Linked DNA regions of Macaca mulatta. The protein of the gene in region 2 binds, or shares a complex with, the protein of the main gene of each other region. Links are inferred from orthologs where the notes say so. Each region holds a gene or a part of one and is shown on either strand. Other genes may lie near its edges.

The links. Proteins that work in one complex are often made in the same cells at the same time.
Region 1: the proteins of GNAI3 (region 2) and RGS2 are in contact, whole or in part, in a crystal structure (PDB 2V4Z), measured with the Homo sapiens proteins. The link is inferred for Macaca mulatta from reciprocal best matches to the Homo sapiens genes GNAI3 and RGS2. Residues at the interface, in NP_006487.1 of Homo sapiens: Val179, Lys180, Thr181, Thr182, Gly183, Ile184, Val185, Gln204, Ser206, Glu207, Lys209, Lys210, His213, Ala235, Glu236, Asp237, Glu238; in NP_002914.1 of Homo sapiens: Glu104, Phe105, Glu108, Asn109, Glu143, Ala144, Pro145, Glu147, Ile148, Asn149, Asp151, Phe152, Leu180, Asn183, Ser185, Arg188.
Region 3: the proteins of GNAI3 (region 2) and CASR are in contact, whole or in part, in a cryo-EM structure (PDB 8SZH), measured with the Homo sapiens proteins. The link is inferred for Macaca mulatta from reciprocal best matches to the Homo sapiens genes GNAI3 and CASR. Residues at the interface, in NP_006487.1 of Homo sapiens: Ala31, Lys32, Gln304, Glu308, Lys314, Asp315, Thr316, Lys317, Glu318, Ile319, Tyr320, Thr321, Phe334, Asp337, Ala338, Thr340, Asp341, Ile343, Ile344, Lys345, Asn347, Leu348, Glu350, Cys351, Gly352, Leu353, Tyr354; in NP_000379.3 of Homo sapiens: Lys644, Ala645, Asn647, Arg701, Val702, Val705, Phe706, Ala708, Lys709, Pro711, Thr712, Arg716, Trp719, Phe801, Ile869, Val872, Arg873, Thr876, Ala877, Ala880, Phe881, Lys882, Val883, Ala884, Ala885, Arg886.

What each region holds. Positions count from the first base shown.
Region 1 is NC_133406.1:50,335,204-50,339,458, reverse strand, and holds the start of RGS2 (regulator of G-protein signaling 2), read right to left. Parts: upstream 2,825-4,255; 5' UTR 2,807-2,824; coding exon 2,697-2,806; intron 1,704-2,696; coding exon 1,602-1,703; intron 1,500-1,601; coding exon 1,438-1,499; intron 872-1,437; coding exon 705-871; intron 451-704; coding exon 256-450; 3' UTR 1-255. UniProt on the Homo sapiens protein: Regulates G protein-coupled receptor signaling cascades. Inhibits signal transduction by increasing the GTPase activity of G protein alpha subunits, thereby driving them into their inactive GDP-bound form.
Region 2 is NC_133406.1:130,609,415-130,612,965, forward strand, and holds the end of GNAI3 (guanine nucleotide-binding protein G(i) subunit alpha-3), read right to left. Parts: intron 3,167-3,551; coding exon 2,976-3,166; 3' UTR 2,954-2,975; intron 2,864-2,953; 3' UTR 531-2,863; downstream 1-530. UniProt on the Homo sapiens protein: Heterotrimeric guanine nucleotide-binding proteins (G proteins) function as transducers downstream of G protein-coupled receptors (GPCRs) in numerous signaling cascades.
Region 3 is NC_133407.1:161,582,635-161,586,935, forward strand, and holds the start of CASR (extracellular calcium-sensing receptor), read right to left. Parts: upstream 2,825-4,301; 5' UTR 2,154-2,824; intron 2,037-2,153; exon of another isoform or gene 1,788-2,036; intron 1-1,787. UniProt on the Homo sapiens protein: G-protein-coupled receptor that senses changes in the extracellular concentration of calcium ions and plays a key role in maintaining calcium homeostasis.

The DNA of each region.
Region 1 (4,255 bases), about 80 Mb from region 2:
TCAGAGTGAGACACCACGTTCAGACCACCTATTCCCTTCTTGCGTTCTGTACACAGTGAGGGAAGCTGTTCTGATACCAGCTTCTCCTAGTCAGTTACTGGCTTCCTGATTCACTACCCAGCTTTGAATCAATAGTTCTGAGCGATGTTTCCTGAACACCCAGGCTGAATTCAAGGTCAGTCTTTATGGCAGGTCAGTCTTTCCCCTTAGGAAAAAGAATGAAATGTCCTCCATTTCTGGGCTCCCTTTTACATTTCATGTAGCATGAGGCTCTGTGGTGATTTGAGGCTTTTTACACAAGTCCTGGTAGAATTCTGACTCCAAGAAACGGGGATAAGAGTTGTTCTCCATCAAGCTGTATACCCTTTTCTGGGCAGTTGTGAAGCAGCCACTTGTAGCTTCTTGTATATTCTGGGCAATCAGAGTTTTGGTTTGAAAATCTATGTTTATCTGAAATAAAACAAAAAAGTTGTTTATTTGGTGTTCAGAGTTAAAGATTAAAATTTAGTATTTGAAAACAAAAAATAAAAATTATGTGTGATTAGCTTTACTACCTAAGTCACAGAAGAACTTTAACATAACTGAAAGCTACAACATGGGGGGACTTTTTACCCCTCCTTCTAGCCCCACTTTGCCCTTATTTTGTTTCACTTTTGTGCTAAAAATGTCCAGATTGTGCTCAGTTTAGGAACTTGTTTCCTTACCTCTTTTGGAGCTTCCTTTTCTATAAAATCAGTATATATTTTCCTTGCTTTTGAGGACAATTTTTGGGGTGATTTGGTTTTTTTGAAGTCTTCACAGGCCAGCCAGAATTCAATATTTTCTTCACAGAATTCCGACTTTAAAAAAGCCCTGAATGCAGCAAGACCATCTGAAGGGGGGAGAAAAGAAAGCATGCAGAATGTGAAGAACCGAGTGACCAAATGATTCTTTATGTTTCTCCTAGTACTTCTCCCTCACATTTTAATTATTTCTAAATGACAGCAATTTTCTAGATTTCGCTTAAACCTGTAATTCTCAAAATTTAGCTTTTTAAAGACGAAGATACCAGTAGGCAAAATGCTTATGTTGGCCCTCTGCTGCAAAAATATAAGTACTTTGCTGTCAATGCAAAGTAAATATTTATAGGGGAGACATAAATTCTCTGGGAACTAAGCCTCTTGAAAACATTGTATGCAATGGAAAAACTGACTCAACCTTAACTATAAGCAACTGCCACTTTAATTTTTTTAGGCTGATTTTCTTCCCCACCTGGAGGAAATACATGCATTTATTTCCATGGTTAAACCCTGGGAAATAAAGGAGAGAAAAACAGGCTTTATCCAATAGTGACTGCAGTCTAATCCCCCTCAGGCAAGCTGCTCTTTTGTTGTGTGGACCCAGCCTTTGCAGGCTTTTGCAATATTAGCAATGGCTAAAGTTCAAGAGTTAACTTACATTTGCTAGCTAGCAGCTCGTCAAATGCTTCTGACCACAGCTGTGCTTCCTCAGGAGAAGGTCTGCAAGAGAGGTTCTGCATGTTAGCTTATGCACATCAGAGTTCCCCTTTTCAGTTCAGCAACTAACTATTAACATTTGCAAGTACAGGATTCTCAACTTACTTGATGAAAGCTTGTTGTTTGCTTTTTTTGCCGGTTTTGGGTTTCCCAGGAGTAGAGGAATTTTGCAAGAAGTAGCTCAAACGGGTCTTCCAATCTTTTAAACTAAAACAAACAAAAAAATTTAAAAAAGATAATCACTAAGTAGCAACACTTGAATATGCTACTGCAGCTGAACGCATTTTTACCAAATAAAGTCACCCAGTAACTAGAGACAAACCGCATAAGGCAAAGCAAGAACTCTTCAAATAACAGTCTTATCCACTTAACATTTAAACCTCATGTACTGAGCAGTTTCATCCATTAAACTGATCGTATCTACTAGTTTTACAACTAAGGGCAGGGCTACCTACAATCACTAGGGTATTTTAAAGAATTGTTAATGAATTTAGTTCAAAAGGCAGATACTATTTCTGGCTCACAAAGGGCATCAGTTTGTTTGCAAGGTTAATTACAATTCCGAGGGGTTTTACAATTTAATGAAAAGGACAGACGTGGAACTGTCTGGAGCCGGCCCACGCTTCTCTCTTTAGAGCAAGAGGTTCTGGAGCATGCCAGAGACAGTGTACAAGGAGGTGGGTGACTGATTCCCCTGCGCTCTTCCTTCCCCACCTACAACACTTCTTTTAAGCAGACGCTGCAGAACAATTATTTGTTCCACATTCATGACTGGGTGAGATCTGCTCTATAATTAAAAAACAAAAATGGATTTTAAACGAGTATATTCACAACCAGCAAGAGCATCTCCTTCCAGGAGCTGTGTAAGCTGATGAGAACTCATCATGCAACGTATGCATGCTGGGGACGCGCTTCAGCCGCAGGATTCTGATGTCATTTTGAATGCAGGAGGACAAAAAGCCAACCCGCAATTTCTTAGCGCATCCACCACGGCCCTCATATCAACTATCTCCCTCGGTTCCTAAACTCTACCCGAGCATCACCCAGATTTAACCTTAACAAACTGACCTTTTCGATTTTTTTTTTCCCCTGCAGAGGCTCGGGCTAGTTTCCTAACATCAAAGCCGAGCCCAAAGTACCGCGTTTGCAGCTCGCAGTGTGTGGCAGGGGTGGCGGGAGAGGGAAGAAAGCCATACTCACAGGGTCCGTTTCATCTTTTCCCGCTTCTCCTCGCTCTTGTGGCCGCTGCCAGCGCTAGTGTCCATAGGTCTGCAGTCGTGTTGAACAGCCAAGAACATAGCACTTTGCATTATCGTCCTCCCGCTGGGGCCGCGGCTGTTGGCTGCTGGGCGTGCGTCGCAGCTTTTATAAGAAGCCGCGACTTGGGGGCGGGGCTTCGCGGCTCCGGCCCCGCCTCAAGAGGACGCGGATTGGTTGGTTGCAAACGGGCACTGGGATGGGGGTCAGCGCCCGCCAGCGGCAGTCTCGGTTAACGCCGAAGGGTCTGGAAGCCAGGGCGCTGCTGACGTCTGCGGCCCGGGCTTCTTGCGCACTCGGACTACATAGCAGCGGCCAGCTGGGGCCGGCGTGCGAGCAGACAGGGACTTTTCAGTGTGGGCTGTTGCCCACGACCTTTTGCTGAAGCGTGGTGGCCAGGCGGGGGCTTGCGGCGGAGGGAGAGAGCCGAAGTTGGCTGCGGCCTGGCGGAGGCTACGTCGCTCCCTCACCCACCCACCCTGACGGGCTCCCCAGCCCCAGGCCAGAGCGGCGATTCCCTGGCAGGAGGAGGTCGCCCGCCGCGAGGCCGGAGTTCAGTGGCCTGATTTTGAATGAAGAGTGGGATTTTTCTTCTTTTTTTGAGCGCGTTCCCTGACCCCGCGCCTCATTTCTTGTTTGCTGTCCTACTGTAGGGACTCATTCGACACACCCTGGTCAATGAACTGAGGCTACGGGGAGACCCTCCCCCGTTTCTCTCTGCCACTTAATTTAAGGAAGGTGTAACCTGAAACGTTGACTGCCCGGGGGCAGGGTGGGACCTGCTCTGCAGCTTGCTGGGGCGTCTTGAAACACGTTGGGAATGAACATTAGGGATTGAACAAGAGAAGGTGACTTTATCAGAAGACAGTGCTTTAATTGGATTTGCATTTTTGATCACTACTAGGCAAGTGGCTGGGTCTGTCTATAGGGTCATTCCTCAGGAGCCCTTGGTCACATCTGCCAAAATGGAAATCACAAGTTTCCTTATGGTGGGAGAGAAAGCTGGAGACACAGATATTTCAGAGCTGTAATGCACTAGAATCATGAGTTCAAGGAGTCAGGATTTCCTCATGAGTCATTCTTGTTTTGAGTTAGGATTTACCAGAACTTTTAATAACTGGCAAAAAGTAGGGGGAAGGAGGAGTTAACAGTTTCCTTCATTAAGTTTTTTGTTAATTCTTCAAGTATCATCTCTACTCCTGAAGGTTTTAAAACGACTTGATTGGTAAAAACAAATAGATTACCTCAACCACAAAATGAGTTGATTTCGTACAATATTACCAGAACTAGCCAATGAAATGTTTAAGCGGCTTTGCAACCAAGCTGCAGATATTTTCTCTAGATAGTATTCGACTTGTTAAAAGAAAATTGGAAATAGTTAATATATTCTTACGGTGAGCTGCCAGTAGTTGGAGCTCCAAGTTTGACTTAGAGGGCAAAACCTGCAGTTATTTAAGACAACAGTTGTGGACTTTATTGTGGAGAGGAAAATCATGTAGATT
Region 2 (3,551 bases):
AGACTAATGGCTTCTTAAATGGTCCAAAGCATAGGCACCTGAATTCTGAAACATTGTCCATCACAAATCTCCAGCATTCTCCAGAGGAAACACACAAGGCAACTTTTAGCTTCTTTGACTACAAATGCCGAAATTTTTTTTCAGGCTAGTAGATTTAATGTTTCATCTCACATTTTAGCCCTGCTACAAGAAAATATCTTTTGTTTCAATACAAACCAGTGATTTTCAAGCCTGACTGGTAATCAAAATCACCTTTTAAAAATTATAAATTGCCGGCCGGGTGCGCTGGCTCACACCTGTAATCCAGCACTTTGGGAGGTCGAGGCGGGTGGATCATGAGGTCAGGAGATCAAGAGCATCCTGGCTAACACGGTGAAACACCGTTTCTACTAAAACATACAAAAAAATTAGCTGGGCGTGGTGGCAGGCACCTGTAGTCCCAGCAGGAGAATGGTGTGAACCTGGGAGGCGGCGCTTGCAGTGAGCCAAGATAGCGCCACTGCACTCCAGCCTGGGCAACAGAGCGAGACTCCGTCTCAAAAAAAAAAAAAAAAAAAAAAAATCGATTGCCAGCCCACCAGCCAAAAGTCAATCTCTTAGATGGGTCCAAGTGATTTTTACTTAAGTCATATTAAAGACCACTGACTTAAATTGTCTCCCTGTGTCCTCAAGGAATGTGCATTTAGATAAGTTATTTGGGATGGTGAAATAAAAGTGATCTTCATGTAAACAAACAGAGAGCAAATGTAAATGGTACAAAGGCAGAAAATGGGGACCTGCTATTTTTCTTTAACAGAAGGGCTAAAAATTTAACATATCAGATAGATATTCAAATGAAAATACAAATTCAAAATAAAATGAACTTTTTTGGATTATTGGTTATTTTAGATTATCAATAACACCATTCCATTAGTCCACAATATAGAAAGACTAAAGTTGAAAATAATATTCCACCAGTTCTCGTTTCCAGATGATCCTATATTACAGAATACAATAAGGAAAAGATATATTCAAAATGAGTAAGAACTACCAACCCTGTTTACATTGTGGGCATTGAATCAATCACCAACTGAAGCTGATAATTTTCTTTCAGATCAAGTTTTCCCAAATCTAAAGGAAATTTCATTATATAATACAGTTATACCATCTGTAAGCTATGATTTTCCAAAAAGAATCAGAAAAAAAGTTAAAAACAACCAACAAAGGCACTGAACTGCTATGACTTGCTTTTTTGTTGACACCAACCTTTTTCTGTAAACTAGTGAAAGGTCACATCAAAAGATGATATAGAATCCAATCCGAAAACATTGGACCCCAAAAGGCACTGCTCAAACTTTTGATTTGAAATGCTCAAAATGCATTCTCTTCATTTGTCTTCCCCCAATAGAGCATTCAATATTTAATGACATTTGCTGTACATTATACAAAAGGGTCTGTAGGTTGAAGTGAATATAACTCTCCACACAAGCAAAATGTAAATCTGCAAAATGAATGATGATCACATTCACTTGTATGCAGATATAACATAAAACCTAAGGTTCAACAATACTATTACACCAAAGGACTAGACCTTCAGGAAACCCTTCTACCTAAACCCATTCTCAGACAAAGGCTAAAACACATTCTGCAAAGGCAAAAGGAAACAGAAGACAGTATTTCCATTAAAGACTAGTTACAAACAGGAGCAAACCTGGGCTCTTTACTCACCATTTTAATACTGCTGCCAACTATAACAGATTAAAAATGTACACATGACAAAGTGGAAAAAAGTCCCAAAATGCAACAGTTTCAGCAAAAGAACATACTGACTAAGGATTACTACAGTTAACATTGCTACAGTAAAAACGATGGCAAACAGGGATTTGGCACCACATTTACAAAGTAAAAGCATGCACTGTTAATACACTTTAGATGTCTCTCAACAGAAAAGGCCATGAAGATGGAAAACAAGAGGCACCTTGTACAAAACTCCCTATAACTGAGACAAACAAGCAAGAATCAAAGTGGTCAATTTAGTAAATATGTAGCAGCAAAGTCACTGGTTCTGTTTGGAATTTAGCAATTTGCATTTCTGATTGGCAGCTGTCCCGGGCATGTCTGTATCCAAGAAGCTGACTTTATCATACTACATCACAGCAGTAATTTGGTAATCTGCATAAACAAAGTTAACCTTCAACCATAAGCTTAAAGAAAAGAGAGAACTAGAATCTTATTGCAGAACTTTCCAATGTAATTACCATATGGAAACCATAATGGTACTTTGAGCAGGATAATAACATAAATTTCATCAAAAAAGTTGTATGCATAGCCCCAGTAACTGGAAAGAATTATAAGTAATTATGGAAGTATTATATTCTGACCACACCAAGAGTTACAAACAAAGAGTTCCTACTAAAGAGGAATATTTTCAAGATGATCTGGTCACATCATGTGCATAGTTAACATTGTGTTTTAATAAAGATTCTTTTGCAAATAAAGAAATAAAATTTAGTAAAGTTATTCTTCTCTTGATGAAAAAACCCTAAAAATGAACCACTGGTGGTTTGTTAAGAAGGGGGAAAAAAAGAGTAAGCTACATATTGAAGTTCTAGAATGCAGCACCTCAACTTCACATCTTCCATAAGCATTTAAGATTAAGAAATCCAAGTGATGTCTTGATGATCAAATCACACTTTACAGTTCTTCCAATTCCAATGTCTGACTTTAGCATCTCATGTCAATTAAAAGTTCCCTAATATAGAAGATTGTGCTAAAGAGTGCTAAGATTCTGCATGCTGCTGCCATTCCCTGGTCCCGTTCATGCTTGTAGCTGCCCCGTAAGACAGCAAAAGGTGTCTGGTCTCAACACTCCACACTGTAGTAACTAGAAGAGAAGAAGATTCTTAATTAGAAAAACTTTACAAAGCTAACAGACATCACTATAGCACTATAACTACCTTGTATGAAACTTTACCTTTCACTAACATCCATGCTTTTCAATAAAGTCCACATTCCTTTAAGTTGTTTTTAATGATGACATCTGTAACAGCATCAAAAACAAACTGCACATTCTTCGTGTCTGTGGCACAGGTGAAGTGAGTGTAGATCTCCTTGGTATCTTTTCTTCTGTTCAGATCTTCAAACTGGCATTGAATATAGGCAGCTGCCTCTTCATATGTATTGGAACCTAAAACAGACACCCCGTACTCTCAGTTCAAATTGTAACAGCTGCCTGAACTCAACTAAGTCAGACCATTACCATTTACTTATGGAGAGGAAACATAACCCAATTAAATATGAATAGAATTCTCTATTTCTATAATCATTAGATGTTTCTATAATTAGGTTCTTCATGAGAGTAGACTCTCATGGTAACTAAAATAAAATCATCACACACAAAGATTGAAGAAAACATAACGTTGTTTCTCTTTACCCTTTCATTTAGACTTTTCAGCTAAAAAAAATCTAGAAAGTATAAAGGGAAACTAGGAAAGTAGGAAGGTGCATTTCTAGGGAACACAACTGCTTCAAAGGTCTGAGAGAGGCTGTGTTCCTTGGAGTGATCTTGGAAT
Region 3 (4,301 bases), on a different chromosome or scaffold from region 2:
CACTCTCTCCCACCAAAAAGTCTTAGAAGCGGCAGCTTCTAATCAGCCTGAACTTTCTGACATGGTTGGGATCCAGTTCAAGGTTATGCAATATGAAAAGATAAACAAAATAAAGGAAAAATGTGGAGACTGGAGTACCTATTAGGTGATTTTAAACAATGGACACAGCTCCTAAAGAACCCGCTAATTCAGTAAAAAAATTTTTTAAATTAATTTAGTTTCAACCACTCTGTTTTATCATAGAGACAAAAACTGGTTGATTTGCTGATTGTTTTCACTTACTATGTTTTGGCCTAACATAGAAGTCTTGAAACAGAGCTGACTGTACTGATTGTTGGCAGGAAGTAACCTGCATGTGTGGTCTCTTAGCAAATTATATGGGGACTGTTCCTAAATGACAGGGCTCTGTGCTTGAGGAGTCTTCTGCACTCAAGGGTCTTGGCCTGCTTCTTCCTTCCTACTTCCCCTCCAACTTCCCCTACATCTTCCCCTCCCACCTTGTCCACCACAAAGCTTTGTCCCTCAGGCCCTTCATGGAACACCTCCCAGGCAGGTATAAAGCACCCAGTGTCCCAGGTTCCTACAGAGGAAAAAATCCTAGGCAGACCAGTTAGGGGATCCTGGAGTGGAGACGGGAAAAGCAACAGCAAGGTGTGACTGATGAAGTTCTGTTTTAAGGAATAGGAACTACTGTGGTGTTAAGTTCTGGAAATCCAGAGCATTTCAGAAAACAGCCTGCATTATTTCCTCTCAATAACAGACTACCTAAATGCACTTGGAAGATCCAGTTTAAGGGGAAAGATAGGTGTGTTTAGAACTTGTCATGGACTGTTCCCCAATGTGCCTTTTCTTCAGATCTCTGGGATAGTTGAAGCAAGTAAATGAAATGTCTTCTCGTTAGTGGGCTCCCTACCCTGAGGAACACCTTGTGAAAAACATTTGAGGACAAGATAGGCGTTGCGAGAAGGAACACTGGAGATTAAAGGATGTGGGCAGTGGTGGTGACATCATTTTCTGGCTAAAGAATCAAAAGACGGCGACAGAACATGTAGAGTGTGAAAGGCTATGAGTATAGAAAGGAGATAGCAATAGACACATGCTAGTGCAGGCAGTGCCTCTAGAAGATAAATGTTTGTATTATTTGACTTAAAAAATAAATATATGCATGTTATCTATTGAAAGCTAGAATGTTAAAATAATGATAAGACTCCATCAGTCTGGTATGCTTTTTCTCCCCAGGAAATACATACGGAGGCTGGTGATCAGGCCCCGGGAACTGACAGTCTAATTTGATGCCACTGAAGCAAAGTCCCCAAGGAATTCTGGCGGCTTGGACCAGGAATTCTGCAGGGACACTGACGGCCCCTGGGGCCAGAGCTGACGCCGTGGCCCTCCCCTCCATATTCATACACTCTGTGAAGCTACCTGTCCCCTTGTTAACACATGGAGAGCGAGTCCTTTCTGACTACATCACAGGCAGAAGCAAGGCAGAGGCACAAGAAACTACCGACAGCAGGCGTTTTGGTGTGCACTCCCGTTCATTGGCGTAGGTGACCCGCTGCCCCTTCTAGGGGACACTGAACAGTCCAGTTCTGAGCCGGGGAAAGCCTTGATCCTATAATGTGGTCCCTACTTTCCCCCACGTTCACGCCCAATGCTCCCAGGCTGGAGCTGCTCCGGCGTGTGCCCCTCGTTCGGCCCCGAGCCCTTGGCCCCCAGACCCCGCCACGGCCCCTCCCCCACTGGGGGCGCTTTCTGCCCGCCCTCCTCGGGTTCCCTGGTCCTACCAGCGCCTTGGCCAGGGCTCCCTCGCACAGAGGCAGCTCCAGCCCCTCGGCCGTGGGTCTTCACGAGGCTGGGCTTGTGTCTGATCTCCGGACGGCGCGCGGACCCTGCTCCCTATGCGAAGGTCACGGTCTCGGAGAGGTGTGCATGGCTCACTGCACTCCCTGCGCCCGCCTTCGGGACCGGCCGCAGCAGCCCCCGCAGACCCTCTGGGCAGCCGCGGCTGCCCCGGCCCCGGAGCTCCGCCCCTCTCGTGCTCCCCGCCCGCTTGCCCCCTCGGGGTCCCGGACTGCTGAGCCCAGCTCCCCTTGGAGCCCACTCGCGAGCTGCCCTCTAACCCCCACCCCAGTTAGTCCCCGTTCCCTCACCGTCTCCTTAGCCCGCAGATAGCTTAGCTGACTCTTCAGGGTCGCTGAGGGCGCGTCTTCCGTTCCCCGAGGGCCACACGCCGGCTCGGGTCCCCAGCAGACGGTGAGCCCCGCGCTCAGGTCCTCTCCTGCCCTCTTCCGTGCCGAGCCAGGGGTTCCCGGCTCCCAAATCCTGTTCCTGCTGCCTGCTGTCGGGGAGGTCCTCTTCCCGGACCCCTACTCCTTGGCGATGAAAAGAGACTTAGAGGGCTTACGACGCCACCAACGTTCTCTGTGCCGAGGGTGGCACAATTTTTTTTTTTCTGATATAAGGCCAGAGATTCACAATAAAATAAATACAAATCGCGTGCCCAAACTCTTACTTATTGTGCAAGACTCAGGTCAAGCGTTACCTCGGTGCTGACAAACAGCTCCCTGCTTCCACTCTCCTGCGCGAAAGGGCGCGCGATCCTCCCTGGCTGCAGCCAGGCGCCTGTTCTACCCGACTCCACAGCTCGCTGCTTGGAGGCCCCGACCTGGCCTTGCTTATCCTTGTCCCTAGCCCCTGGCAAGGTGCCTGCCACCCATCACAGCACTAGAATATTTTATGAATAAGTGGAAAATTAATTTCTTTTGTAGAAAACCATTTGCGTGTGTGTGTGTGTGTTTGGCTTTTTACCCTCAAATAAAGCATACTCCTTTGGGTGGGCAATTTGCTAGTCTCTATAAAGAAACACCAAAAATATCCCCTTTAATGCAGTATTCCATGCTTGGGGAAATTTCCAGAACAAAATAACATTCATGCGGAGATGTTTTTTAGGAGGATCATTTACTACAGAAAAAAAATTTAAAAACCACAAAAAGTAAACAGAGCCAAACTGTCAACAGTAGGAAACTGGTTGAGTAAATTAGGGTGACTTAATGGGATATTATACAACCGTTAAAATGATAAACATCAAGACAGAAGTGCTTCAAATTCTTTTTAGAATAAGGAGGGAGTATGTATTTATTTATAAAGCAAAAAAGGGAAACATGAAGTAACATGATAAAATGTTTGCAAATTATTGTTAAGCAAAAAGCAGAAAATTGGGTCATTTACCCATGTTTAATAACTTCAAATAAAAATGCAGATTTCTTCTCTGCAAATCGGCCATAACATCTACCTCAAGGGGTCCTTGGAGTGTTCAATGAAATAGTCAAGGAAAGTGCCTAGTATAGAATGGATACTCAACAAAGTTTCCATTTCTTTTCTTCAATGGAACACAGACTCAAATCCAGCATGTCAAACACATCCTCATTATGGCCCAATTCTACCCATTTGGCTTCCTTTCCCTCAAATACAGCGTAGGAGAAGGAGCTGAGCAAATGCCAAAGAACCAGGGAAGGAGGAAAATCTAGTTAATAGGAATAAACGTGAAGTCCTCCCTCAGGCCGAAACACCTAGCAATACAAGTTGGTAATGGGGGATGTGGCTCAGTAGTGCTCTACATCAAAATACCTTAGATTTTATTTTAGTTGGCTACAAGCACAACCTTGTGAACACCCAAAGGCTGAATGAGTTCAGTTCAAAACCTGAATGAGGCTGCAATCTTAGGCTGAACTCATCCTCTTCAATGGTCAGGTTACACCTGGGCATAATGTCCAAATCTGAGCACTATCTTTAAGAAAGCATTACTCTGAAGATCTATTATTGCTTCCATTGTAAAGATGAAGAAACTATGCATACAGTTTCCAGTATTTAGGGTTGGGCTGCTAGGAGTTGGCAGAGCCAAGAGCTGAACCAAATCAGTTTGACTTACAGTCCTGGTGCTTGATCACTTTACCAGTGTGTCCCAGTGTGTACATCTTCCAGTAGAGATTGGAAGCATGGTATTGGGTGGTACACAGACAATAAAATTAGATAACAGTGGATCACAAGGTGAAAAAAGATATGCCCTTCACTTCTTTTGTTCCTATGGATTATGTCAAAGGAAGGAGTATCATTTTTGTGGTATTTGTCTTTGCACCCCTGTATAATACTTGGTAATCTCCTGTTTTAACAAAGAGAGAGCTTGCCTCTCGCTCAGAACCTTTGCTAGGCAACAACTCCTAAGTAGAATTTAATATCATCACTTTCTCTTCCATCCCCTTATGCAGTTAGGTTCCAATAGACATAGTTTTCCACTTACA